Linked DNA regions of Lonchura striata. The protein of the gene in region 2 purifies or fractionates together with the protein of the main gene of each other region. This does not show direct contact. Links are inferred from orthologs where the notes say so. Each region holds a gene or a part of one and is shown on either strand. Other genes may lie near its edges.

The links.
Region 1: the proteins of MAPK14 (region 2) and IQGAP1 purify together in Homo sapiens (affinity purification with mass spectrometry; 3 studies listed by BioGRID and IntAct, counting the BioPlex papers as one, with this or other methods). This does not show direct contact. The link is inferred for Lonchura striata from reciprocal best matches to the Homo sapiens genes MAPK14 and IQGAP1.
Region 3: the proteins of MAPK14 (region 2) and OBSL1 purify together in Homo sapiens (affinity purification with mass spectrometry; 6 studies listed by BioGRID and IntAct, counting the BioPlex papers as one, with this or other methods). This does not show direct contact. The link is inferred for Lonchura striata from reciprocal best matches to the Homo sapiens genes MAPK14 and OBSL1.
Region 4: the proteins of MAPK14 (region 2) and DUSP16 purify together in Homo sapiens (affinity purification with mass spectrometry; 7 studies listed by BioGRID and IntAct, counting the BioPlex papers as one, with this or other methods). This does not show direct contact. The link is inferred for Lonchura striata from reciprocal best matches to the Homo sapiens genes MAPK14 and DUSP16.

What each region holds. Positions count from the first base shown.
Region 1 is NC_134613.1:24,619,053-24,626,654, reverse strand, and holds the start of IQGAP1 (ras GTPase-activating-like protein IQGAP1), read right to left. Parts: upstream 3,015-7,602; 5' UTR 2,923-3,014; coding exon 2,871-2,922; intron 1,146-2,870; coding exon 1,046-1,145; intron 1-1,045. Other genes in the region: TUBGCP4 (gamma-tubulin complex component 4), read left to right, coding at 5,895-5,972, 6,090-6,218, 6,796-6,918, 7,305-7,358. UniProt on the Homo sapiens protein: Plays a crucial role in regulating the dynamics and assembly of the actin cytoskeleton.
Region 2 is NC_134632.1:4,665,582-4,673,092, reverse strand, and holds the start of MAPK14 (mitogen-activated protein kinase 14), read right to left. Parts: upstream 3,002-7,511; 5' UTR 2,781-3,001; coding exon 2,665-2,780; intron 2,216-2,664; exon of another isoform or gene 2,186-2,215; intron 665-2,185; exon of another isoform or gene 568-664; intron 1-567. UniProt on the Homo sapiens protein: Serine/threonine kinase which acts as an essential component of the MAP kinase signal transduction pathway.
Region 3 is NC_134610.1:16,234,760-16,241,584, forward strand, and holds the start of OBSL1 (obscurin-like protein 1), read right to left. Parts: upstream 3,020-6,825; coding exon 1,981-3,019; intron 1,216-1,980; coding exon 946-1,215; intron 740-945; coding exon 479-739; intron 145-478; coding exon 1-144. Other genes in the region: INHA (inhibin alpha chain), read left to right, coding at 5,682-6,048. UniProt on the Homo sapiens protein: Core component of the 3M complex, a complex required to regulate microtubule dynamics and genome integrity. It is unclear how the 3M complex regulates microtubules, it could act by controlling the level of a microtubule stabilizer.
Region 4 is NC_134607.1:10,378,299-10,385,216, forward strand, and holds the start of DUSP16 (dual specificity protein phosphatase 16), read right to left. Parts: upstream 3,016-6,918; 5' UTR 2,936-3,015; intron 2,856-2,935; exon of another isoform or gene 2,633-2,855; intron 2,460-2,632; exon of another isoform or gene 2,339-2,459; intron 1-2,338. UniProt on the Homo sapiens protein: Dual specificity protein phosphatase involved in the inactivation of MAP kinases. Dephosphorylates MAPK10 bound to ARRB2.

The DNA.
Region 1 (7,602 bases), on a different chromosome or scaffold from region 2:
TTCTCTCTTTTGGCAGAGGATTTCCAGAAAGACACTGAGTGCCTGGAGAGAAGTCTAAGCAACCCAGGGAAAAGTACTACAGATCTATTAAATAGATGGATGCATGGAGAAATACGCAAGAATTGAGTTCTCAGTGTGCAAGGAATATACACTGCTGCAATTTAAATTTGTAAAAGGCTTCAGTTAAGAGGAAGGGAGTAACAATTTTTCATGTGCACTGCTAAGCCAGGAGGCAATACTGCACCAGACATATACAAGTTAGACAACAGGAAGTGATGCCTTTTCTTGGGCATTAAGAGTTAGATACAGTTAAGGGATAAAGGGCTTTTTTATCTCGGTATCTAATAAGTATTTCTATGGCACACTAATTCACCAAGGTGGAATAAGTAGAAACGTACACACACAGTAGATTGCATATACAATTTTATGGACTTTGTAAATTAGTATATTTAAAATTGATGCTTCAATTAGAGGTTTAAATGAACAGTGTGAATGTTCTTATCGTCAAGTATTTTCTCTCAGATGGACTTAATTTTAGTTTACAGGACATGTTTTAGAGGGGGTCTTGGTTTTTCAAGATACCGTAAGGTTTTTCAGCCTCCCACTGCAAGGCCTTCAGGATGTTTGGTCTTCTGGCTTAACAGAATACCAGAACTATGCTAAGGTATTACAGACTCAAAGAATTACAAATGCACACGTTAAGGGTGTTGGGAATATATAAGTGGTACATAAAAAGAAAAAGTAAAAAATCATCATGGCATCAGGAGAACCCATCCAGTGCTAGGAATAACAGAACAAACAGGTACGTAGTCCTTGTCATGAAGTCTTTGAGAACCTTAGAAACACATATCAGAGGTCAGTTGTTTTTTTTTCACAGAGGAAGGGAGTTTCTTTGATTTTTTTTTTGGTTGGTTGTTTTTTCTAGTGAAACTATATAGCCACTAAGAAACCAAGACAAGAGGTAATATGCATCCAAATTATTCCCCATACCAAAGGTCACATCTTCTTTTAAAGCACCACCACTTTCCAAATCAATTATTCTCACCTCTTTGCTTCCTCCAGATGACAAAGGTATTCATAGGCTACATTCTGGCGTCGCCTTTCATCCATTTCCTCTGCTGTTAATCTCTCATTATCCAAAACAGCTGAAAATAAATGAAACACAGCCCTCAGATGGTTGAACATTGAATGTAATGGAACAGGCACATCAAAAATCAGATCCAACCTCTCCCACAGAAACTCATCACGGTTGTTTTTTTTTAATTCAGCAAACTAAGGATCTGATTACTTGTTCTTTACTAGCAAGAGAAAACACTCAATTTCCTTATCCTTGTCACATAAATTTGCCAGCTTCCTTCTTCCTGATTTCTCAAATTCACAGCATCCCTCTTACAACTTCTTAGAAACAATCTTTTATTTTCTTATTTTCTTCTACCTTTGCCTTTGTCTTCCTCAAAAGCACATCAGTGACCACTTGTCCCCTCACCAATCCTCCAATTTTGATAGCAAAAGATTAAGGAAGGACACAAATACATATTAACATCATATAACCCCCTCTATATCTTTATAGTCCACCTCTAAAGCAAGGTAGAAATGCTACTCACACTCCCTACATGGAAGGGAATCATTCAGATTCCCAACCTACATGCCATCTTTGGATCACGCTAAAGACCTACATAGGGGTAATATGCCTAAATCTTCTAGATTTTGTGTGTTCAAAGTCTCAGTAAAAAAGTCTTCTCTTCCCATACTTACAGCTAAATACATCTCATGTCAACTTTTTTAGGTATCATGGACCAATTTAACAAATAGGAAATGTTTCATACTGTTAATAAAGCAAAGGTTAGCTTATACCTAAGATAATTTCAACAACAATCTATGGTGCACTTGTGAGACCCCAGCAGGAACACTGGCATCTTCAGCACAAAACCTGCTAGAGCACGTCCAGAGGTGGGCAACAAAGATGCTCCGGGGCCTGGAACACCTCTCCCACAGAGGCAGGCTGAGACAGTACGGGTTGCTCAGCCTGGAGAGGGCTTTCTCTGTGGTCTCTCTGTACTTAAAAGGGAGCTTATAAAAGGAAGAGGGAAATGCTGATAGGACAAAGGGGAACAGTTTAAAACTAGAAGTGGAGAGATTTAGAGCAGATGACAGGAAGAAATTCTTGAACCAAGAAGATAGTGAGGCAGAGAAGCTGTGGCAGCCCCATCCCTGGAATGTTAAAAGACCAGGTCGGACCGACTGTCGCTTACAACATCGCCCCTCCACAGCACCACGTTTTCCTCCGCCGTTGGTCATTTTTGACGCGGTATAGTAGCGTAGGTGAGCCCGCACATCGGACGCTAAGATCCAAAGCCTCCCTCTCCATAGCAAGCCCACGACAAGGCAATGAAGGTGTCAAATGGGAGCGGTGTTTCGCCCAGAAAATCGGGTGTGGTCGCCAAAATCGGCGGGAAGGCGGAAGGCAGGGCCGCCCCCGCCCCACCCCGCCCGCGGCGGACATCTTGGGCGAGGTGCAAGGCTCGCCCGCGGCAGACGACGGCCGCACAGTCATGGGACGTCGCGTTGCTGCTCATCCACTGCCTTCTCCCAGCACTCGTCTCCAACCCTCAGGAGGACTGTCGAGCTTAGACAAGGTCCCGCGCGGCACGGCGCTCATCTCGCGGGAGGCGCAGCTCGACAGGGCCCGCCAGGAGAGCCGGCGGGGCACACCGTGCCCGAGGGGCAGTCCCGGAGCCCGCGGCTCCCCCCATGCCTGCGGTGGCCCAGCCTCCCCTCACAGCGCTGAACGCTGGAAAGCACGGACGGCTCGGACTGGGCGTCGCTTGGCGGCCACGCGGATTCCCTCACCCCGGGATCCCGATACTTACAGCCATAGTGGGGCCGGGACACGGCCAGCCCGTCCACGTCCTCCGCCGCCATGGCGCTGCGCTGGGCTGGGGCTAGCGGGAGCTGGGCGCGGCTGTTCCTCTTCCTGCCGCACCGGGTGTGGCGGGGGAGGAGTCGCCCCGCCGCGCTCTCTCTCCCCGCCCCGGCCGCACCCGAGGCGTCCCCGCCACCTTCGGCGCTGCTGGAAAGGATGAGTTGCGCAGTCCCGTTCCGGCCGGACCCAGGCCCCAATCTAGCTCGGCCCGTCCCGTAAACCTGAAGGACACGGCTTGGCCGTCTTGTCTCTCCCCGGGGTCCCTCTCCCTCTCACAGGGCCAGCGCCCTGGCTCTGAATCTGTCTGTTAGCCTCATAACTAACACCCAGCTAAGCTCTCACCTAAACTCTGCCAGCATACGCGGGACACAGCCCAGGTCAACCTGGTCATGACCCACATTTTACCCTCTCAGCCCAGCCATGTGTGCGCAGCCCACGTGCGCCCCACTGTGTGCAGTACAGCTCAGCCTCCAAAGCCCGGCTGCCTCCCACATGCTGCTTCGCCTAAGCCCTCTTGCCCTGCCAGGTTCCTCAGCTGCATAGCCCTTCACAGTAGCAAAACCTGGCCTTGCTGGATGTAGCATAAACAGCTCTACTGACCAAACCATGGTAACTCATATGAAATGTCAACCACAAGTGGAAGCAGTGGAAGCCCCTAAACAATAGCAACATCCAGCAGCACTGCCACAGGAGAATCATGCCCTGAAAACTTCCTTCCCCTCAGTACATATTACTGTTGCTTTGCCTATTTCTTGTTCAAGGGTCAGAGTACTGACAGTGTCAGTCACCAGGTGTCCATTTTAATTAGTCACATGAATTTCACTGCTAGGGCATACATTTACTACCTAAGTACACATTAAGTAATTTGGAAAACCAATAGCCTCTGTTAGGAAAAGCATCCCCAGCAGGCAAAGGAGTCAATCTATCATTCTCATCTTCCCAGATGTGGATTCAGTTTCAGCTCCCTCAGTACAAGGAAGACATGGACATAATGGAACAACTACAGTGAAATTGATTAAGGGCTTGGAGCATCTGACATATGAGGAGAGCACGAGAGAACATGCCAAGAAGCAGTGGGCAATGGACTGAAAAATATAAAAAGTCCCATTTCAATAGAATAAAAAATAGTTGTATTCTGAAGGTGACTCAACACTGGAACAAGTTACCTAGAGAAGTTATGGAGTCTCTGTCCTTGGAGAAAATTCAAGCCTAACTAGGCATAGTCCTGGACAAACCTGCTTGAGTTCACCTGGTATTGAGAAAACAAGGTGGGACTGGAGACTTCTAGAGGTCACTTCCAAAATCAGTGATTCCATGAGCCCATCAAAAAGTATATTTACTTACTATATATACACAGGTAACATGGAACAGGACAAGAAGACACAGCCTAAAGCTGTGCCAGGGCAGGTTTAGCTTGGACATTAGGAAGAATTTCTTCACAGGAGGGGTGGTGAGATATTGGAATGGGCTGCCAAGGAACGTGGTGGAGACATCATCCTGTAAGTGTTAGAGGAAAGATTGGATGTGGCACTTAGTGCTTTGATCTAGCTGACAAAGTGGCATTCGATCATTGGTTGGACTCAACAATCTTAGAGAACTGAATTGATTAAAGGAAGACATAATTCAATGGTTACAGAAATAACTACATTGGGAAATGCCAGACATAAATTACAAAACAAAAGGTTTTATAATACAGTTAGGATTCTATTTATTAACATTTGCATTACTTCACATGTAGCCACTTGTAAGTTATGCAATGAGAAGACATTTAAAATAATGTTTATATGTAGAATGTGGCGTGCAGAATTCATTTTGTTCCCCCTAAAAATCTCGTAACATTTTTGCACAGTGCCACAAACCTCCCTCAAAAACATCTCATTCTGATAAGAAAAATAAAACACGATTATTACATGTCATCAAAGAACCTTTCTGAACCTCTTCAAAGCTGGACTCAATGGTACCTATAACAGCTCCCCTGATTTAAGATTTCTGGTGCTTGTTATCGACTTTGCAAAATGTTTTTATTAAAAGTTGTGTATCTGTGTGCCTAATTTATTGCCTATCCTGTTCCTTGTCTTTTTCCCCCCTAGTGTTTAATGAGCACTAGTCAGATGGCCCTGCAAATATCATAGAGATACCTATTTTTCTCTCATTTCAAAATTTGAGCAACCAAAAAATTCTTTTAAGATTTTTGCTTTAATGACTAATCACTAGGTTTCCCAGAGAAAATGAGCACCGAAATCCTTTAAATAAACTACTGTTATCTGTTCTTTTGCAGAGGTTTCCAGACCAATTGTATACTGTGATATTTATGTCAAGGATGCATAACAAATGTCTAGGCCAACTCCTCAGTCTTTATTATGATGCTAGAAGTTTTGTCAACAGAAAGACAATAGTTTTATTATACTCCTCATATATGATAAACAACAATGTTGGGGCTTCCAATTTACACATAAAGCTGTATAGCTATAGCTAGTACATGCCCATATTCTTCCTACCCTTCAGACCTTATTGTGGCAAGCTGAAACAAATACAAATTAGATGACCCTTAAGACTAAACACCAATTTCTTCTAAATGAAGAAGAGTAAACATGTACATAGAGGAAAAAACTGTCAAAAATAGGGGGGGTAAATGAAAAAGAGGCTGCTAAAAAACACTTTATTAAATGACTTCATAGTTTTCAAACTAGACAGTTTTGAATAAAAGTCTACCCGGATTACGACAGGAAGTGAAGGAAAGCAGTACATAATAAATGGAGAAAGGTAAAACTGGCGCTGATAAAACACTGACAAATAACCTGAGAAAGCGATAAAGAAACCTCGTGAGGCGTATCGTAGAGGGCAGCGCAGCTCTGCTGTCCGGGACGGACGGTGGCCATCAGAGCCTCGGCGGCGCTGCACGCCGCAGCCCCGCCCGGCGCTCCCGGCGGCCCCGCCGCTCCCGGCAGCCCGCGCGGCGCCGCGCCGCAGGATGATCCACGAGCTGCTGCTGGCCCTCAGCGGCTACCCGGGGGCGGCCTTCACCTGGAGCAAGCGCGGCGGCCTCCAGGTGTGGCACGGCCCCGGCAAAGCCCACCCCGCCCCGCCTGCCCCCTGCCCCCCACCCCCCGGCCTGCGCGGCTCGTCCGTCCGCCCATTCGTTCCTCACCGCTGTTTTCTCTTCCAGGTGTCTCAGGAGCTGCCGTTTCTGCACCCCAGCGAGACCAGCGTCCTTAACCGGCTCTGCCGCCTCGGCACCGACTACATCCGCTTCGCCGAATTCGTGGAGCAGTACACGGGACATGTACAGCAGCAGGTGGGGTCACTGGGCCGAGGTATTGCCCGGGAAGAGCGCGGCAGGTGCCAGTAAGGCCAAGCTGCCCAGGACACAGCAGTGGTCCGTGGCCCATACCCGCGCTCGCACCACCACCGAGCAGAGCTCCAGAAAGCTCTTCGCGATGCTTGTAAGGGAGGGTAGAGAGCAATGAAGAATAATGAATCAAATGTAAAATCTTATTATTGGGGACGTCTTGTAATAATTTCTGACCACAGCAGACTGGCCAGGGTTTGTCAATTGAGCGGGATGCTCATGACTATCTCCTCATGATGTGCGAAGAGCCTTGAGATCCAAGAGGCACACTTAAGTGAAAAGAAGCACTGGTACCAAAGGCTCCCAGCACTTTCAGAGGTCCACAAAAGAACTAAACATCAGTCTGCTCGAGTAACTGTCATTGTGAAAAGGTTGTATTTGTTTTTCTGATCACTTTGTGGTGAGCTAAGGTGCATTTCAACAGGTTTAAAGCACTGACAACTGCTGTGGCACTGCACAGATACTACATTACTCTTCAGACTTGCACGAGTATGCTGAGGCAGATTTTATTGTTTGGTTTCAGGATCACCATCCATCTCAGCAAAACCAGAGTGGATTGCATGGCATTTATTTGAGAGCCTTCTGCACAGGTCTTGATTCAGTGCTGCAGCCTTATCGACAGGCACTACTTGACCTGGAACAAGAGGTAAAGGAGAGAGATACAGAACAAGAGGCTGTAGTGCTGCTGGCAGATTGTGGAAACTTGTAATTTCTGCAATTAATATGTTAGTAGTAGTTTCTAAGATGAAACAAGGTATTTTCCTTTCCACGTTAGGAATGCCTTCCAAATTATTCCTGTGAGATGCCATTGTAAATTACTTTTCATTCTATTAAGTGTTATCCTCTCTACCTTCAATTCTGTAAGGGCTCCATCTCTGTTAGCCCAGTGCTGTCTCAGACTACTGTGGCTTCTGTTTTCAATTTTAGAGGTTTTGATTAATCTCTGCTAGACTAGTAGCTGTCATACCTTGGGTAGCGTCACCATTTAGTGGTTGTGATAATTAATCTTCATTAATTGCTTTATCTTTATAGTTTCTGGCTGACCCACACCTTTCCATCTCACATGTTAATTACTCCTTGGACCAGGTATGTCGTGTTATTAAAGAAGTAGTGTTCTTTGCTTGTTGTCATCCCTCATTGAGTCTAATAAGAAAGTGGGTGGGATAAACGAGGCTTGTTCCATCATGTCATGTCATTTCTATCTAATGTCTCTACATCTGTAGTCCCTTAATCGTACTCAGAGGATCACCTGCACTTCAGCACAAAACTAAGGTACTCCACCTTGACCCTCACACATTCCTCACTGACTGTGTTTAGCCTTAACTACTGC
Region 2 (7,511 bases):
ATGAATGAAACAGCATTTCCTACAACAGGTGCCATGGCAATTGTTACGTGACTTAGGAAGAATCAATCTGAGGATATGCGTAGATTTTTCTCTAAGTTTTGGAAACAAATCCCTATTTGTATCTCTAACACTTGTAGTTCTTAAAAAATAGATCCTGAAAAATACTTGAGCTGGCCATTTGAACCTCATTCTTGCAACACTGCACACCACCCCTCAGAAAACACTGCAATATTTGCTCTCACTTCAGGCAGTCCTGCAGAAAATGCCTCTCCCTCCATCCACTGACTCCCCAGTTGTCAGGTTTGTGTATTAGGGAGTTCCAAGCCATATTCAAAGCAGCTTACAACAGCTCCATAGTCTAAGTGACTCATCTGGCAGCTTAATGCTTCCTTTTTTATTCATTTTCCCCTCCACTTTCTGGAGATGCCTCATTTTCAAATGCCTCATTTTGACAACTTAAACAACAGAGCATTTGATTACATTTGAATATAATAATAGTGAACATACATGAAAATAGATTTACCATTTTAAGGATTGTTAAAACACCACTATGTACTATCCCAACAGGGATACACCAAACACCAAATGAAATTAGGTGGCTTTTTACTGGAGAGGAAAAAAATCTCTAAAGGGACAGAGCAGAATAAGTCCTCGCAGGAATACCGTAAGTAATATGCATCACCACTTGTAGCTTAATAAGCATCCATAAATATGCAAAAGTTTTTGTCGTTTTCTTGAATTTTTCAATTTTGACATACTTTCCATATCACTATATCTTTTCTGAAAACTATTTTTAGAAGAACATACAGGAAGCCATTAACATGGACTGTAAAAAAAGTCTGCCACATGTCTGAAATTGCTTCCAATACAAAACTGTTTCACTTGGTCTGAATAAAGTTGCACAATCTTTCAAAGTTTTGACACAGCAGAACAGGAAATTCATGATGCAAAGTCTTTAGTTACTGGTTGAAAACAAACTTTGCAACTATTACTTATACAGTGGAGTTTACAGGGAGGGAGAAAAGAAAATAGGAGTGGGGTATATGATGTAGAATCAACCTTAAAATACAAAGGACAAGGCACCAAGCAAATTTATTTCCCATTACATTTCAGAAGTTGCATAACTCTGTGACACCGACAGGGGTATTTATCAGCTGTGTCAACAAGGTTCTTCTTTCACCAAAAGAAACCTGTCTATTCCTTTCCAATCAAAATTATTCTATAATTATATTAAAAAAAAAAAAAAAAAAAAAAAAAAAACAAGAAACAAACCAAAAACACACCTCAGCAAATATACTGGTTATTCTCACTACAAAATTGACCAGCCTGGTTTACTTTTATGAAATGCAAGCCTCTGCACACTTCAATCACAGCATTTTAAAAAATGCAAGTTATTTAAGCTCAACTCTACCAACAATTTTATAACAGGTTAAGAACAGCTGAGCATTTCATTAAAACTGTAGCATGTCCAAAGGAGCTTATTTTCTGTACTAAGAGAATGCAGCATGTGTCCCTCCTTATAATAAAACTGATACCCATAATGTAAATTTGCATACATTAATAAACACATATGCATGCCTGCTCCAACAAAACAGCAAAGCAGCTTTGTAATTATGCACCCATATTTCAAAATTCTGCTCACACTTTGACAGAAGCAAAGAACACAGAATAAAACCCAAAGACTCAGGTGGAAGATGTTTCTTAATCAAAGGAGGCAGTAATCTGTGCACATTTAACTAAATGACTGCTAAAGTCTAAGAGTCAAACCGATTCAAATACTACCTTGTCTTTAAGGTTAAGCCAAGCATGCAGCTCTATTTATGTTTAATGATCCACCGCAGTCCAGCAGAGAAGCTACAAATTAAGGACGCATTGTATCTCACACATGCAGCCTGGTTTGTTCCTATTAGGTAAGCATTAAAAACTAAACTCTTCAAGCTCCCTGTATTCCTGCAGGTCTCATAGCAGGACTTTACTCTCCCAGGGAGCACATGCTGCAGTAATTCTATAGCAATAAAACGAGTCCTCCTGTGTTCATCTATTATTGCCAATAAAATATCGGTGCTTGTAAATCCACTATTAACAAGTCAGGAATACAAAAACAGCCCTCCCTACATTCTATTTCTTGCCTATCAACAAATTCCGGATGAAAATACAACTGACTCAAATACAATTTATTCTTCAGGTCCAGAAAGAAAACTGGGACAAGAGCTGCCAAGCCCTTAGCTCTGCAAAGCCACCTATGGCGGGGGGGGCTTTCCAGGCTGCATCCCTCTGCACTGCCCACCTACAAACTGCAAGAAATCACAGTGAAATATGTCCGTAAGTCACTGAAATATATCCATATGAGCTCATTCGGGGCGGGACGGGGGGGAGCCGGCAAGGACACATTATTATCTTCCCCTGCAAAAATGTTTCGGAGCCACCTGCCATGTGGTGCAATCCCCGACGCATTCCAAAGACGAGACTGCGGCTTCCCGGCAGCACCGCGCGTAAACCCGGGAGGAGAAGTGTCTCTTGCAGGAGGCCGGGGGGACAGGAACCCCCGGGGCACGGAGCAGCCCCGCTCGCCGCGGTGCCCGCCCCGCACGGACCCGGCAGGGCGGCGGGGCAGCGACCTAACGCGACCTCCCCCGCACTGCCCCGTCCCCTCCCTGCGCTCACCACACCGAGCCGTAGGCCCCGGAGCCGACCGGGGAGAGGTTCTGGTAGCGCTCGGGCACCTCCCACACCGTCTTGTTCAGCTCCTGCCGGTAGAACTTGGGCCGCTCCTGAGACATCTCGGTTGCGGAGCCCGCCCCGCCCGGCCCGGCGGGAGGGGGAGGCTCTGCCTGCGGCTGCAGCAGCACCGCCGCCGCCACTACCTCCTCCTGCTCCTGCAGCGGCACCAGCGACTTCTTCCTTCCTTCCTTCCTTCCTCCTTTCGCTCCCTCCCCTCGGCGCTCCGGGCGGGGGCGGCCCCGCAGCAGCGACGCCCCCGCTGCCGCCGCCGGCCGCTCCCGCCCCGCCCCGCTGCCGCAGCCGCGGGGGGCGAGGCCGAGCGCGGCCGTGTCCCCGCCTTCCCCCGCCGCTCTCCCTCCCTCTCTCCCTCCGCGGGCAGCGCCGCGAGGGGCTGGATGGCCCCGAGAGGCGCGGCCGGCGGTCGTGCGGCCGAGCGGCGAGCGAGGCGGGGGCGCCGGCGCGCGGGGCGGGGACACGCTGCCGCCGCAGGTGGGACGGCGCAGGCGGCGCCGCAGCCACCGCCTCCGCCCCTCGCTGCGACCTCGTACACAGCGCAAACAGCGCCGGCCCCGCTGTCCCCGCTGTCCCGGCACGGCCCGGCACGGCCGCGCCCGCGGAGCTCCGCGCACCGATGCCCAAGATGGAGCCCGCGCGGCGGCGTCTCGCGAGAGCGGCGCGGAGGGCGGCGCGAACCGCCCGCGCCTCAGCGAGCGCCTCGCTTCTCCCCGAGGTGTTCCGAAAGTGAAAAAACAAAAGGAGAATCGATGAGAATGCTTGCGGAAGCTTGCGAGTTGGTGTGAATTGTTTCTAAACTTCCCGAGGATGGTTTGTTCCCTTCCAGAGGTGTTGAGGAGAGCTAAGCTCGCGCTGCACACATTTCCCAGTGTCCTGATCGTTCTCTGTGTTTTTTGAGAATAAGCTGCGTCTCAATACTGCTCAAAAGGCCTTGCAGTATCAAAGACACAGATGTGTTTGCTTTCCAGTACATGCATAAGTCTAAAGTTATTAAGTGCGGCAGATTAAGCTGACTTTGGAGTGGAACCCATGGTGTCTTCACCAGACAGTAAGTACAGAATATCACAGAAAATAATTCATGTTCAGGCCACTTAGCTTTTAATCTCAAGCTTTAGAAAGGTGAATTGTTAGCAAGATACACACATTCTGAATGGGTCACGGAAGCTTGCTTTTAAAACATTTGGCTTCCCATATCAAACCCCTTCTCTACACAAAGTGGCACCCTCTCCTATGGTGGTGTAAGTCATTGAAGCCCACAGGAGTAAACACTTAAAAGTTACCACTGCTTGCACCTATAAAGTAACTACTTCTTGGTATGTTAGGATTCTTAACACCTTTAATTTGCAAACTCTTGCTGTTAGTTTTGCATGTATGACCTTGCCTTGAAAAGGGTGATTGTGCTCAAGGATGTCAGACACACCTCGCCCTGCTGTGGTTTGGAGTGGCTGGGGATGTGTATGTGTACAAGACAGTAAATCTAATGCTGGAGTCCCTGCTGTGGTATCAGAACAAACAGGTCTCAGTGATTGTGCTTTTGTTTCTTTGTTTTAGTTTGGTTTGACTATGAATATTGCAGTTTTCTTTCTGAATCTCTTTTTGGATCTAGTCTGGACTCTCAGTGGTTATGGCTTTTTCTGTTCTGCTAAGTCCTCCTATGAAAGTAAACACAGAATCTCTTATTCATCATTTATCTGGGCTTTGTTTCAGTGTGTACTGAAACTTAAACTGTTCTCTTGAGACGGGGACAAGGCTTGAGACTCAAGACTGAGCCACTGGGTGAGGTTCTCCAAGGTGTGGTGAGCTAATCTATCAGCCTGCTGCTGCCAAAAGGGACAGGACCACACAGGGAAAGGAAAGCAGGGGAGCCAGGCTTCTCTTTCTGGATAACCAGCTCTTTCATCAGCTTAGCCACGTGTGGTACTGAAGCCTGAAACTACGGGTCTTGTCCAGCTTACACTGCTGTAAAGGAATTTTCAGGTGATAAATGCAGGCAAACAGAGCTGTAGTTTGAGTTGGTGTTGTTTTCTCAGTAACCATGAAGACTTGTCAACAAGGTTACCTTCTGTAATAGTGAGATCATTTACATTGTGCAAAAGCCTTCTGTTCTGTCATTTAATATCTTTAAAAATCTAAGATGGAGATTGGATGAAATTCTGGAGTCAGAGAAACAAAATCACTTGATGGCAAGAGTTGAATCGTGTATAACTGTGACATGTGATGTAGAGTTAAGAGTCTGTCCACCCAAAATTACCTGATGTAATACAATAAGTTTTGCCCAGAATTCAAAGGCAGAATTTTGCTAATATTATTGGAAACTTTATCATTGCATTGTCTAATAAGAAAATATATTTTATTTCTTCCTCCAGCTCATTGTTTAAGAAAAATGTCTGCCTTGCTTCCTCATGATTTTTCCCTGTTTCTTTGCCACTTCCCTGTTTCATGTGTTTTTTCTGTTCTCCATTTTGTATGCACTTGTCAGCAGAGCCACCCTGACAGTGAAATTATGGAGGGGGACACAGCTCTGTAATGTTAATGTGAGTCCCCACGGTCACTGTTCACAGTTCAGGGATGTCAAAAGCCTTACTTATATTTGGGTTGTGAATAAAAAAAAAAAAAAAAAAAAAAAAAAAAAAATCACCAACATGCCAGGAATTAAAAGGGGGAAGAAGGAGCACTGGGCGGTGGGGTTAGTCAGAGTTTAGCTACTGGAAATTTTGATTCAAACACATACATGGGAAATATATCATGTAGGTCAAGTCCTGATTTAACCCACTCACTAAATAATTTAATTCAGGAAACATTTGTCTCATTTTGGGGAGGTGGGATAGGTTTGTTAATTTTTGCTGCCCAGATGCAGTGTTTATGTGGTTTTCTTCTAGGTCAGAACAGGAGGAATCAAAATACCATCCCCTCTTTTTTCTGCAGTGTTAATTAGGTCAAGCAACTGATGTATCCAGTGCTCTGTGCTTCTCCAGCTATCAGGTGAACAGCACACAGAGCATTTGTGATTCATCTGAGTGGCATGCAAGGGCACAGAGGTGCCTGCCTGGGATGGATGGTGTGTGCCAGCTCTGGGATAACACCTGTGCCTGCAGAGAGCAAACACAGCAAACCTTGGTGGGCACAGGAGGCCACACAAGAGCACTGCAGAGACACAGGTGGCTGCTTTGGACAGGCAGAAAGTTGGGTGAGTTAGAATCTACTGCAGAACAGCTTGCTGAAGTCAGGCTGAACAGCAGAAGGTAGAATATTTGGCTTGACATTTAAGCCTTCACGTTAAATTATCCTGCCAGTAACTTAAATATTGTCATGGAGTTGAGGAAATGCGGCTGGGTAGATCCCCTTTTGAATTCTCCATTTTTTCACAAATGTAATGGATTGATAATCCAGTTTGTTGCTTTGAGTCCTGTGTTCCTGTTTGGGCAAAGACATCTTTGTGTGCAAGCTGGAGAAGCATCCTGTTGAGTTTTGCAGGAGGGAATGACTTTGTTGTTGTTGTTTTTATTTCTCTGACAGAGTGAGAATCCTGCCAGCGGAGGGCAAAAGCTCCAAGTTTTTTATTTCCAGAGGTTACTGCACCAGCTGTCTTTGGGATGATGGGGGAAGTGAAAAACAGAGATAGCTTGACTTCCTGAAGAACTGGAGCTTATGCCTTTTCTGTCAGTATTCTGCAATAATTTTTAAGCTTGGTAGCTGTCTCAGCCAAGTTTGAATTGGGCAGGTGGCTGGAAATTCCAGGAAAAGCAATTGTTCTGAGTAAAATATTCCAGTAGTTGTCCCACCTAGGGAAAGAATCCAGTCTTGGGTAATCATCCTGTGCTGGGGTCCTACACCTGAACGAGGCAAGAAGGAGAAGAAAACCCTCCCCAAATCTGGAGGAAAGCAGGGTTCCTGACTTCTGCTGCTCATGAAACCACTTGTTTAACTCCCTCACCTTGGCATTGCACAAAATAGTCTAATGCAAGGATATTGACCTTTCAAACTCTTCCCCCATAGAAAAAGCTTCAAAGAATGAAGGTGACACTAAATATTCACCAGTCTCCCTTTAATGCAGGAAGGTGGGGAGCACCCTCACAGAGGTGACTGTTTCCACAGGAGCCCCCTTTGAGGTGAGGCTGCCTGGGAATGCAGCAGGGACCCACAGCAGCTCAGGGGTGTCACCTCCAGCAGTCCCTGTGAGCCCAGTTCCTCGAGGGCTGGAGGTTTGGGCTGTCCTGTGCTCCCATGCCAGCAGGGCCCTCTCGCTGCTCAGGTGGTGTCACCTTGTTATGGGAACTGCATTTGACCACCTTGACACTCTGGCCACCCTTGGCTAAGAGTTATATCCAGATATGAACTTGGATTTTCAAGAAGACTGTGTAGAGTCTCTTAACTGCAGAGAAAACTGAATCCTGGATCTTCTTGGACTGAAAGACAGGAAAAACTGAAGGCCCAAATGGTATTGAGTAATTCTCAAACCACATATGCTTCCCTACATTGTTCTGGACAGTGGCTTCATGCCAAGCTTCTCTCAGCTCTGTTCAAAATGAGTAATGTAAAACCCATGAAAGGCATAGCCCTAATTTTCAGATTCTATTGGCTCTCCTATGACAGCTTTGATTTAAGATGAAATGGATTCCTAGCTATTGGCACCATGAAAGGTCTCCACTGAAAACTTAAAAGGTTTTTTTTTTTTCCTCTTGTTCAGCAAAGTTCCAAATCTTCCCTTCCTATTGCAATGACTGCAGAGTTTAGCACCAGTGGACAAATCAGACATCAGAATGTCAGCATGCAAG
Region 3 (6,825 bases), on a different chromosome or scaffold from region 2:
CTGCCTCCCGACGCTCCAGCAGGTAGTGGCTGGCGGGGCGGAGGTGGGAGTCAGGTGCAGGACACCAAGTCAGCAGAGCTGTGTTAGTCTCCACCACGCTCATCTCAGCTGCTACTGGTGCACTCGGAGGGTCGTGCTTCACACCTGCAAGTTACAGCCCACGCTGACTGCTTGGGGATGGCAGTGAGGTTCTAGGTGGGGTGGTAGAAGTGATAAGTGGGGGTAACAGCCTGTTTCTTTGGGGATTCTCTCTCTGATGGAGAGGATGGTCTTGCTCCCGTGTAGCATGCTGCTGGCTGCAGGGGTTTGTGAATGCCTGTGAGGCTAGGATCCTGGAGTTCTGCTCAAAGCCCCCTTCCCATAAAACACATTGCTGCATCACACCCCCAGCATATTGGCTGCCTATGCCATCCCCTCTTCTGTATCACCCCCCATGAACAGGCAGGAGAGAGGACACAGGACCCCTTCAGGAGCTTACACTTGACTCGGAGCTGGGAGGATGTCTGTGACTCCCCGACAGTGAAGGAGATGATGCCCGCGTCCTGGCGGGTGACGTGCACCAGCACCAGGAGGTGTGTCCTGCTGAAGCTCTTAAGCACGGTGCGGGGTGACTCCCGCAGCTGTAGCCCATCCCGGCTCCAGCAGCTGCCCTCTACCACATCCCGTGTCTCCACACAGAAAACTGCATTCTCCCCCTCCATCACATCCAGCTTCCGTGGCAGTCGCTTCACAATCACCCCTATGGGAAGAGATATATGAGGGCCAGGGAGGAATTCTGGGGACCGGGATGGGGCTCTTTGAGGTGGGAGAGGAGGAGGAGGAGGTTGAGGAGGGGCAGCAGCAGGCACCAGCCAAGTGGAGGGAAGGCAAATGCACGGAGCAGTGAGGACCCTGGCAAGGAGGGGAATAGGAAGGCAAAGCTGTGCCGCTGGAGACATGACGCACCTCGGACAGAGACCTCGGCAATGCTGCGTCCTTTGTCCTTCATCTGGCAGAGGTAGATGCCATCGTCATCGATGCGGGCATCGCGGATGGTCAGGCGCCGCACCACCCCTTGCTCCTCCATCACGTACTTGTGGCTGGGCTGCAGCTCTCTGTCCTCCAGGTACCAGGAGGTGGGGATCGTCTCCAGTGGCACCTGGCACTCCAACACTGCATCCTCCCGCTCTGCTACCTCCACGTCTGCCAGCTGCACCTGGAACCGCAGCCGGTGCTCTGCCACAGGAAGAGACAGGAGCTTAGGGCACGTGGGGTACAGCATCCACTGTCAGCCCTTTGCTCAAGGTGATCCCAGCTCACAAAGAGCAGCAAACTCTTGTCCCTCCTTTGCCCTCTCCTTTGGCTTCCATGAGACAGACACTGCCTTGACAAGCACATATCCCAGAGCAGGGAGGACCAGGGCACAGCCTGGGGAGACACAGGGATGCCTCCAGTATCTCAGCAGGAGTTTTGGGGGATGCAGGGGCATGGAAGCCAGCATACTGCAGCAGGCATCTCAGTGGAGGGGAGCAGTGGGGTGTAGGCAGGGGCTGCACCAGTTCCTGGGTAACCCCAGCCATGGGCTGTCCCCAGCTGGCTGGATGGCTCGGGGGGGAATTGGGCAGCTGCCAGTGCAGACTGTTGGAGCCGTGCCCTGCAGGGCTGGCTGCCAGAATCACTCAGCACTTCCAGGGAAATTTGTCACCAAGGCACTGTCCCTCTTCCCTGTTTGTGGCTGGACACCTGCAGTCATCCGAGAAGCCACACCTCTGTTTGCAAGGAAAGCGAGACACGGAGCAGGACACAGCTCCTGAAGAAGCCCAGCATCCCCTGTTTCCAGCTCACAGCTCTGTCCTGAGGAGCCTGGGGTGACCCTGGCTGCACAGGGCAGGAAGGAGCCCCATGATGCTGGGCTCTCACACAGACACACCCCTGCCAGACAAACTTCCCTGAGCCCCCCAGAGCCTGGCCACCTCTGACACTTCTTGGACGTGTTCCTACCTTTCACCTGCAGCTGCACTGCACTGAGAGTCTGGCCAGCAGTGTTGGAAGCAGTGCACATGTATAGCCCCTGGTCCTGAGGTTTGCAGTACAGCACCTTGAGGATGAAGTAGCCCTCCCGGTCCTCGTAGATGAGATGCCTGCGGCCAGGGGCGAGAGGTTCACCATCTTTCTGCCAGATAATCTCTGGCTTGGGCTTGCCAGTAACATAACAGCGAAACTTGGCATGCTTCCCTGCGCTCACAGCAAATGCCTTGGCCCCTGGCACCCTGGCCGGCACGACGCCATTGGGCACCCAGGTCTCCGGTGCCATGCGCCGTCCCGCTGCGTGCCGCCGCCACCGCTGCCGCTCCGCCAGTACCTCGGGGCCGTGGGCAGGGGAGCCATTGGGGAGCCCATCCAACAGTGCCTGGGGTTCAACCAGGAGCACGGCGGCAGCCAGGGCCTCCTGGGAGCCGCTGCGTGCCCGGCAGACATACACACCCCCATCCTGGGGCCGGGCACCGAACAGCTTCAGGAAGTGCCAGTCCTCTGGTTTCTGCCCCACTGCAAAGTGGCTGCTCTCAAAGAGTTCGGAGAGCTTGTGCCCATCCTTCTCCCACTCCAGCACAGGGCAGGGCTGCCCAGACACCCTGCAGGTGAACATCACATCCTCCCCCCGGCACACCCGCATGGACGAGGGGGCAATGAGGAAGGCAGGTGCGACACTGCCTGAGCATCCCTCCCCCTCTCGCGGCTCTGCTGGCTCTACCCTGAGCACGGTGGCAGCGTAAGTCTCGCCAACACTATTCTTGGCCCTACAGACGTAGAGTCCGCTGTCCTCGGGGGTGGCACAGGACACCAGCAGGCTGTACAGGTCCCCTTTGGACTCCATATGGAAACGGCCCGAGGGCTCGATGGTATTCTTGTCCTTTTCCCAGAGGATGCTTGGCTGGGGATCACCCATGATCTGGCAGCTCAGGACTGCATTGGTGCCACTTTGGACCGTGAAGGCACGTGGATAGGCCAGGAACCTGGGGGCTCCCCCGAACCCCTCCATCACCAACTCCCCAGGCTCACGGCAGACAGCTGGCTGGAGCAGCAGCAGGGATCATCAGCCTGGGGGGATGTACAGACAGACTACAGTGGAGGCTCAGGCTCCATCGAAGAGATGGACCAGTGTGGAGCCCCCAGCTAGGAGGGACCCACAAAATCCCCATCATGGACCTCCTGAGCATCATTGTCATCCAGAGCAGCGCAGTCCCACTGGATTTGTCCCAGTGTCACCCAAACCATCCATTTCCCAGCCCAAGGCAATAGGAGACGTGACAAATTGTGGCTCTTTGCACCCCGGGGGCCTGAGACACTTGCACCCTTTCCCAGGGTTGCAGAGGGGACTCCAGTTCCAGCGGTGGGGGACCCCGGCCTAGACAGGGAGCATAGGCAGCTGCTTGCTGGGTGCTGGGGCTGGGGGACAGCGAAGGCAAAAGGGCCCCCGCCCGCCCCTTCCCCACCCGCCGGGCATTCACATTCCTGCAGTATCGGGTGGTGGCAGAGCCGCATTCCTGCAGCATCTGGGCCGGCTCAGCGGGCAGGTGCTGACACGGGGCTGTCACGGGCGCGAGGCCCCGGCTGGACCCGGGCTGGGACTTCCTCCCGGACTTGGGTGGGCAGGGGACCCCCTGTGCCGGGCGGCCACCCCACAGGGCAAAGTGCCCTGGGGCGAAGTGGGGCTCTGGGGAAGGGGTCCCCGTTCTAGAGAGTAGTCCCACAGGCGGGATCCAGCCCTTGTGCACTCAAAACCATAGCTGGAAATCATCAACCCCAGGGGAAAGCTGAAAGCCAGGGAGGTGGGTCCTGCTATGGAAGGGCACTGTCTCCATCCCCAGCTTTGTGGGTAACCGTGCCCACCACCAGGGCAGGAGCAGGGCAGGGTGCTGTGTGCCTCTCCCCGCTGAGTGCACCCACCCTCTGCCCACACCATGGCTGGGACTGGGGCAGGGTCGTCTCTGACTTGCTCAGGCAGGGGGAGGGGAAACAAAAATACTTCTTGAATGAGCCAGAGGGTAGGAGAGAGCTGGTCCCCAAGGAGCGACAGGGATTGTGGCCAGTTTCTCCTCCCACAGCCCTACCCCTGGGACAGTGAATCTATTCAGATTCATCTCTCCATCCACACGCCCCTGACCCCTGGGCCACCCCACAGCAGCTCCTTTGGACACAAACGGACAGCTCTGATGGCTCGGCTGCACCATTGCACCCTTCAACCACTCCCTTCCCCAACCACCCTCCCTGCCCCAGGCAGTCCCCCAGCCCAGACCCCTGCCCCACACATGTACCTCGTTCTGCCACCTCTCCCCTGTGTCTCTCAGTGTCGGCACCCAGCTCCTGCTTCTTCCCCCAGCTCCCCTTCTGGGTGTCAGTGCGCAGGGACCAAATGTTACAAATGCCTGCAGCTGCTGTCCCCAAAAATACCCTCTGATGACACGCGGGGTTGATAAGAGTGAGCCTGCTCCGTTCAGCGCCTCACCGAGGCTGGGCTGGCCTACCTATGTATAGCAGCCCAGCAGGAGCCACCCCAGAGAGCTGCAGGGGTGCTGCAGGCCCGGCTGTGCCTCTGCGCCGGCTCAGCCAGCAGCGAGAGACAACGTGCCCTGTGGAGAGCGTGGCATGGGGTGCAGGGTGCATGGTGTGCTGTACACTGAGCTGGACACCAGACTGCAGTGAGATAGGACGTGTCACACGGGACATGCTGCATGGGGGGATGTGTTGCATTGGATGCTGCATGAAATGCCAGGCTATATTGGATGGGATGGGCAGGACACTGAGCTGCCAGAGGCACAGAGGGGATGCACAGGCTGCCCACCATCCACAGCACATGCAGCGTTAGTGGATAGGCACTGTCCCCTCAGGCAGTGGTGAGAGGAAGGGGACTGGGTCTCCTTACAGCCAATGTCTCTCCTGCAACTCCCACCCTGTGAGCCAAGCCATGGCTAGACAGCCCAAACAGCACCCTAGGATCCTTCTCCTGGACCTGCTGCAGGGTCTCCAGCTGGCCCACCCCTCTCATTTGTTCTTCTCCCCTTGAAGGTCTCATCTGTTTTTCTCCCCTCTCCAGCCTTCTGCAGCCTCAGGTAGAGCAAGGACCTTTTGCCGTCCCTCTTGCTTCATGTCCCCAGGATCTTGCTAATCATGTCATGGAGATGTCATGGACTGTCATGGAGATGCCACAACCACCCTGTCCCTCAGCTTGCCCTTTCCAAGGCCCCATCCTCACATTTTTGGCTGCCCTGGCGACTGCCACCTGCAAAGCGCCTCCCCCATGCCAGAGCCTCACAGGCCTCTGATCCCCACCAGGTCCTTGCCCAGATTTCCCTGCCGTGCACAACTGCTGTCACTTCCCACTAGCTCCCCAGAAGCCCTAGACCTTCCACTCCTCCGCCATGGGAGGCACCTCGCATCAGCAGCTGCAAAGCTCACCCAGCACCCCCTCCATCCCTGCCAGCTTCGGCTGCCGGCACCACCCTGCCCGCAGCCCGGCCTCCCCAGCCCCACGCACGCACCGCTCCCGGCAGCAGCCCCCACACACACCCCCTGGCCGGGGGCCGGCCCCCCAGACCACACTGTCCTTGCAGTCCTTGCATTCCAGACGTCTCAGCGCTTTCACAGCTCAGAGATAATATTCACGGCGAGCAGACGTTTGCGTCAGTGTCAGCTAGATCTCAATGCCACCCTGTCCCGGGGGGAGCGCTGCGGGCAGACGGGCTGGGCAGGCAGGCAGAAGCCCGCGGCAGAGCCCCCCAGGCCAGCACCCCACCGTGTGCCCCACGGCCATGCTGCTGCTGCTGCACCTGCTGCCTGCCATGCTGCCCACCGCCGCCCTGGCCAGCTGCACCGGGACGGGTGCCGACCGGCAGCTCATCCTGGCCAAGGTGCGGGCTCGGGTGCTGGAACATCTGAGTCCCCCCCTTCTCCAGGAGGAGCCACAGATGGAAGCAAGGAGGGTACACCGGAGAGACGTTCTTGAAAACACTGAAGTGGAGCCGGAGGAGCTGGAGGACACCTCCCAGGTGATCTTATTCCCTGCCACAGGTGAGAACATCCTGATGAAAGGGTGAAGCAGGGTGGGGGTTGGAGTAATGCAGACGCTGAAGGATGGCGAGGCTGATGTGGTGGGAGAAGGGGAAGAAGGTATGCCAGGCTGGGACATGGGCATGAGTGAGATTTGGTGGAGAGCCAGATGGAAAGGTATGGCAGGCATGGACAAGCAGAACAGTTCAGGACAGACAGCAGAGGGACAGGCAGCACAAGAGGGTGCTGAGAGGCTAGGAAACAGCTGGCCAGGCAGGATGTGGAGACATGGAGAGGGATGAGGAGCAGGGTGGAATAGGGTGGGATGCTAGGGAATGGGGCAGGATACTGGAAGGTGGGTTGGGATGCTAAGGGACAGGGCAGGATGCTGAAGCATGCGGCAGGATGACCAGCAATAACAGCAGGAGATGGGGCAGAATGCTGGGGGATGGGATAGGATGCACATGCTGGGGAAAAGGGGGCAGGATGACCAACTATGGGACAGGACTGGGAGATGGGCCAGGATGCAGGGAGATGGTCAGGGTGCAGAGGTGGGGGAAAAGGACAGGATTACCAGCTATGAGGTGAATGCTGGGGGACAGGGCATGATGTGGTCTCTGGGGGAAAGGGGCAAGACAACCAGCTATGGGGGAGGATACTGGGGGACAGGGGTGACAGTAATGGACCAGCCTAGAGCATAGCAGAGATCAGTTGTGGGGCACAGCACAGAAGCTGCTGCACAGCACCGGCTCCTCTGCACCCAGCCACAGCCTATGCCAGCAGCCAGGAGCCCTGCCA
Region 4 (6,918 bases), on a different chromosome or scaffold from region 2:
CAAATAAACCACAGAAACACTAGCAATACTCATTTGTACTTATCAGAGTTTAAAATATTCTAGAGAAATCTTCCATGTTGCAACACTCATTCTGAAAACCATCTCTAAGGAATTGTAGGGAAAGTGAATGTACCATTTGACACATTAGGGACACGCTTTCTTCCCTATTACCAAGAAAACCAGCTTCTTGAAAATTCTTAAATAATGAAGGATTCAGCATTACACAACCATGCACAAAATACTACAAGATTGCAAGAAGCATTTAGTCACTATCATAACAACAAATCCATAGGGGCAGATTCAGTGGAGTCACAGACCATGTTTCTTTCAAAGGCTGGAAAAAACATGGAAAAGAAACAGGAAGGGATGTGTCAATCCTTCCATACCTCATCCTTTGACAGTATCTACTCTATGCCATCTGGCTATTAAAGACTGTCAGCACTTGAAGAATATCAATGATGCTTTCCTGACTGCTTCTACAGAAAGGAAAAAGAAATAAAAGTCCTAGAAAATTCAGCTGTTATACTACAAAGTGAAAGCTATCATCCTTCTGCCTCCTTTTTCTTTAGGGGAAAAAATACTTCAGCTGTACTTACTGTATTTCTTAGCAAAATTGCATTTTGAGAACCGAATATTGCTGAATCAGTGTGAGGATTATGGCATTGAACTTTAAAAACCCTGGTGATGGAGCAAAGCCCTCACCCTGCACACACCTCTTACTGCCCAACGTGTTGGAACAGAACTCACTTGGGAGATAAATACAGGTAACAGAAATCAACACTTAACTTGTCTATATGACATTTCTTATGAAGGGCGGCCTTACAAAGAGAGCCTGAATGTAGCCCCTGAGAGCTTTGGAAGGCTTATGTGAATCTCTTATCTGATAGGCAGAGGAGCGACTGGCCCATCTCACACCCAGTTGCCAGTGACTCCATATGATTTCACTGCCCCTATGAGCAGCAGCACAGAGCTCCTTGGCAGAGTCGATCTGCCAAGGAAGGTACACAGGCACAAGGCAGATACAACCACTACTCCTCCCACGGGCTGAGGGCTGGCATCCCGCCGGGGTTGGCTTGGGAGACAGCTCCCAGAGAAATCCATTTAACACATTCCTGCACAGCTTCTGCCGATACCGTCCCCATGGTCAAGCCAAGCTAAAAACAAACACCCCTGCCCAGCCAGCTGTCCTTGCTAGAAGAGGAGCATGCATTTTTACAGAAACCAAGATAACTGAGCCCGCTGTCTTCTACAGAAGCTTTTCTGGTGTGATTTTGTTCCATTACATCTGCTTGTGTAGCTAACAGGTATCTTCATACAACATGTTACATTTTTAAATGCTTGGTTTGTTTTTCTGGACCTTCCCATATGTATTAAACCAAAGCATTTTGAAGCTACCATCTGTAGCACAGGAATTGACACATTCTCTGCTGTTTTTAGGTATTTGTTCATTCTAAAAGGGACTTTTAAATTGTCTGTTAAGATTTACTAAAGCACTATTGTATGAAACAAGCACAACAAGTGGAACATACTACAACTCAGATATTTCTTATAGATTCCATCCTCAAAATATTAACGACCATATTCAGTAAATGCAAGATTTACTTGTGAATATCCTTACTTTTTGTATCTTTTGTCATTAAACATGAAAGCTAAAAATACATGTACACCTCCCTACTGCATACTTCGGTCCACATTCAAACAGAAACTCCCAGACAACATAAACAACTGTGTTTCAATCTCCAATGAGCAGTGGGATGAACACTATAAAAAGAAATTAAGACTTACTATTTTTCCACCTCCTCTCAAAACACAAGAGTCTAAACCAACTCCTGTTTGGTCAGTTGTGACTTTGTAAACTCTGTATCTAACAAACCACACACTTCCAGGAATAGCATAAATCTCAGAGCAAGGATTACAAAATCATTCTTGGGTTTTGGTTGGGATTTTCTCTTTTAAGAACCCCAACAAACGTCCCTGCAAAGAGAAGCAGTTCAATCTGCTTTTATGTTTCAAAACTACAACAGATCTATTTATTCTGCTAGGTATACACTGAATGTTTGAACAGAAAAATTAGTCATTGGTCAGACAATATAGCTCGCTATCACTACACCCTTCATTTGAAGGAGAACCAAAGAAATTTATTTTATATTTCAACCAGCTGAAATGATGGTAAATTCTCCTGGGTTTCCTTTTCTTAAAAAATAAAAATTAAAATATTTTTTTAAAAAAAAATTAAAAATCCCAGCTTCTCATCTGGCATACAACCAAATGTTTTTTAGCCGCTGAAAAATCCTGCTATTGGTCAGGCTCGGCAATAGGCACATCCTATACACCTGGTGATGCGCGCTCAGCCCCGCATCCCGGGCCGGAGTCGGGGCACATAAGCCGGGAGCGGGGATCAGTCAGGCCTCTTCCCGGCGCCAGCCCCGGGCTGGGAGCTCAGGCGAGCGCGATGCCAGGTTAACAATTTGCCTCCCTCCTGGACGCCGCGGCAGCCCTCCATTTTGTCAGTCGCCTCAATTTAAACGCTTTCCAAGGCGAAGGCAGAACTTCAGCATTTCTTCGGGAGCCCTCCGGGGCTTTAAAGCATCCTTAAGCGTTTTGCGCAGCGCGCTCGGAGCCAGCGCTCCAGGCTAAGTCTAGCAGGGTGGCCGCGCACGCCGCGGCTCACGGGCAGCGCCGAGCCCCCCGCGGGCTCCTTCCCATCGCTTCTCCCGGCGGCGCCTCCTCCCGCCCCGCGCTCCGGCGGCGCCCGGCTTCCTCCCCGCACGGGGAGAGGCAGGTGGATGTCGGGAGGAGGACAGGGAAGGGACGGGGGGCAGGAGCCGCCGCGGGCAGCAGGGTGCCGGCAGCAGGTAGGGAGGGCAGCGCGGGGCGGCCGCCGGTGCCGTGCGGTGTCTGTGCCGTTCCCCCTCCCTCCGGCCCCCGTTCTTACCGCCTGCGGAGGCGGCCGGAGCCCGCCCGGGCCGGGGCAGCGACCTGTCCACTGCGGGCGCTCTCCTCCGGAGGTGAGGGGGCGGCGGGGAAGGGCATGGGGAGGAGGGAGGGAGGGCTCCCGCCGCCCGCCTCTCCCTCACCTCCCTCCCCCTCCTCCCCGCCCAGCCCGGCCCGGCCCGGCCGGGCCCCCCCGCGCCCCTCGCCTCCCTCCCGGCTTGGCTTCCCCGGTGCGGCCCTGGATCGGGGTCCCCCTGCGCTGCTCCGGCACTTACTGTGTCACCCCTGCCAGTCTGGCTGCCTGTCCCCTCGGCAAGGATAAAATCAATTGCCCACCAGCCTCGCCGCTGCTGCCCGAAACAACTTTGTCTTCTTCCAGTCCCTGGGAAAGTGCCTCTTTTTCCTACTTCTTCAATGGGGGGGGGGGGGGGGGGGGGGGGGGGGGAACCCAAAGAAAAAAAGGCCCTCCCAAAAACAACAACCAAGCCCCAGCAAATTTAAAAATTAGAAAAGAAAAAATATATTGGGTTTTTTTGTTTTTTTTAAAGGGTGGGAAGCGTGAAAGTGGGAGGGGAGAGGAGAAGAAAAAGGAAATATTTGGGGCTTTGGAACTCTCTTTTCCCTCTCTTTCCCCAAGATGGCTTGAAAAAATTCAAAAGGGACAGTAATAAGGGGGACACACAGAGAGAAAAGCTCGGGAGGACGGAAAAAGTTTGGGGGGTTGGGGTTTTTTGTGCGCGCGTTTGGTCTTTGTGTTTGGGGTTATTGGTTTGGTTTTGTTTTTAAGCCTTAGGATCCCAGAATGACAGAAGCGACTACAAACACTCGGGAAGAGCAAGCACAAGGAGAGGAACGAGCGAGAGAAAAGAGTTTTGCTGGTCCGTAAACTTCAAGCTGCTGGGATGAGGTCATTGGTGTAAATATAAAGCGATGGCGTCATTTGAAACCAATCACAGTGAATGAACTCAGCCGGAGGGTGAAGGTGGGGGGAGAGGGTGAAGGAGAAAGAGGAGGAGCAGTGAGAGAGGATCCCGGCGGCGGGAGGCGATGGCGGGGGCCGGATGGGGGTTATCTCACTTTCCGCAGCCTGCTGCCCGGCTGCCGCGGCCCCTGGGAGGAGCGCGGCCGCGGAGCGATTCAACCGAGCCGCCCCGCGGCCCTCGCCCCGCTCCGGCTTCTCCACAGGGCCCCCCCGGCCCGCCGCCCCTTCCCCGCTCGGCCCGGAGCCCGCCGGGCCGGTGGCGCCTCGCAGCGCCTCGGGCCCGCAGCCTTGTCCGCTCGGCCATCCCTCTCCTCGCCCTCTCCTCCCTGAACCAGCTGAGGGGGCATCCGTAAATACCGCCCTGGCCTTTGCTTTTGCAGTGTGCCGCTGTGCATTGCGGTGTAGAACCACCTGGGTGTGAAGGGTCACATCCTCCTGTGGTAGTGTTACTGGATGACACAACCACAGTGTTTGAGGGAAGGGAAAGGAACTTAAAGTCATCCAGTTCCAACCCCTGTCACTGAGGTGGGCAGAGCACCCTCTGGGTCATGTGGAACACTGGGGGCCTTTGACCTTTAAATAACCTTAAATAAATTTAAAAATCTGAAGCCATACAGTGAAAATTTATGCAGATCCACACAAGTACATGTTACTTTTGCCTGACATGTATCTGTTATGGCTACTACCAAGCCTAACTGGTAAAGTACATCCTTCAGGGGCTGCATGGGTCCTACCTGTCGTGCATCCCTCTTCCAGGCATGACAGAATCTTCTGGTCCTCTTTCTTCCTTAGAAGCATCATTACTATGATGGCACGTTACCTGCTGGCGCTGCAGGACATGCAGGACAGCTTGCACACCAGAATTCAAACTCCATCACCTCTGACAGTTTTGAATCCCTGTGCCAGAAACCCTTGGAAGACAGCATGAGAAAGAGGATTAACTGCATAGGTCCTTATGTTCTTGGTGGCTGTCTCTTCCAAAGTGCCGTTGGAAAAGCACATAGCTGTCGCTCACAGTAAAATGGTTTGGGTGTTTGGTGTTTCAGGAAGAAGGTAACTCAATACATTATATGGGGGGAGAGGGGGCTCTGTGCTGTCAATATTGACCAAGAACCACCTTGATGATGCCCTCGTGCTAAGGAGTTGTGAGCTATCTCATAACAACACTTTGTTGGCATCTGTACTGAACTCCTGTGTGAGGGAGTGCAGAGCATGCAGGCAAGAGAGAAGCCCAAGCTCCACAGAAGAGACAAAATATCAAAAGCAGTGAAGAAATTATAGTAAAGCAATTAACATTGGGATGTTCACTGTTTTGCACGTATCCTTTTCCAGTAGCTGAAAAGCAGTTTTGCCCTTCCGTCTCAATAAAGCAGTGGTCCCAAAGATGCCTTTCTCAAACCCCAAAAGTGCCCACAGCATTAAAAATCTGCACAATTAACTGCTGATTAATGGAGCTAGAAGTGACCCATTTTGACAAAGGGGATCAGAGAGGGTGCCAGAGAAACTGGAGGTGACAGCCAGTGCCCCAGCTCTTTCATTCCAGAAAATTGCAGGAACAAATAGTTCCAGCATGGTTATCCTCACAAAGAGAAGTGGGGAGCAGTGGTGAGAGCTGCATGGTGAGGAGGAAAGACATTTCAATTCTCTCTTCCCTTTTCTCATCTCAACTCACTAGCACCATATGTAACAGGTTTAGGTTTTGTTTAAATTGTGGGACTGTGAAAAATTCCTGACTGTAAAGCTGTAACAATAAGAATTACTTGGGATATTTTGAAAATATTTTTCTTTTTAGCTAAAAAAAGATATATGCAGAAAAGTTTGTACTAGAACAGCAAATGAAAGCTTTTTCAGTATAGAGTCAGGATTTTTATTTTCCTAATGTAATAAAAGATGTGACAAAACCAGTGGCATCACAATTAATTCCTGCACATTGAAATTATTACTAAGAATAACTTTTTCTTTTCAGCCAGGCTTGAGGTAAAAATCTGATCTGGGAGAACATTGCAGAGTGAAACTGGACAGATTCATTGCTAACCTGAAGACAAAGCAGGAGTCAGGAAGACTCAAAGACAGCAGCATCAGACCTCTCTTCACTGAGAGTAGGAGCTGTATCCTTTGCCTCCTGTTTGCAGTGGCCAAACTGTGAATGTGTTGGCAGCTGACATCCCTCAGCTGGCCAGGGCCACTTCTGTAGGAGCAGAAACGCCTTTGCATGTCAGAGTCTTAACATCACTTAACTCTTTTTTTCCCCCTCTGAGAGCCTTTCATTCCTCTCTACCACTTGTGCAGCAAGCTCCTGGAAATGATCTGAACTGCAGGTGCAAACCAGGAGAGTGTCTTTGGCAACCCCCTGAACCATCTGGGAGAGAGAGTGCCTGGCTTTGCTGGTGTCCCTGGCTGCTGACCTCTCATTCCCAAGTTTTTAAAGTCTGTCAAGTCTGAAATGTATTTTGCTACACTTCTGGTGATGGACTTTTTGGCCTAAGTTCACTGTTTGTTTTTGAGAAAATGGTACTGAAAGAGTTAAGGTTAACATTCCTGTCTTGTGCCTCCTTATGAGGCTTATGAGATAAGAAGTGTCTATATGGGGTAAAACAAGGGCAAAAGATATTGTGGTGGCTATCCAACCAGCTATGCAACAGCCCTTGAACTTTGACACTCCCCCCTGTCCTACCTGTTCAAGCCTCACTTCTGGCAGGAGTGCCTGCAAGTGTGTCACCCCTCACTGCTCCTGTTCTTGGGGGCCAGGGAGAGGAAATAGCTGGCTAATTTCAAGAGAAGGTCATGCACCTTGTTTACAAAGGTTTCTCTTTCTTTATTACTAAAAGCTAGTGCAGCTTCTTGTTCCTTTTCCAGCTAATGGATTTTGTGGCACTTCATTTGGTTAATCAGTTAGCAGTGATTAAACAGGAGAAAGATAAATGACAGCCTGAGTAACGTCATCATGATTTCTGTGTGGTGGAAAGGAGTGGTTTGCCAGGGAAACATCTTGCGAAATAAGT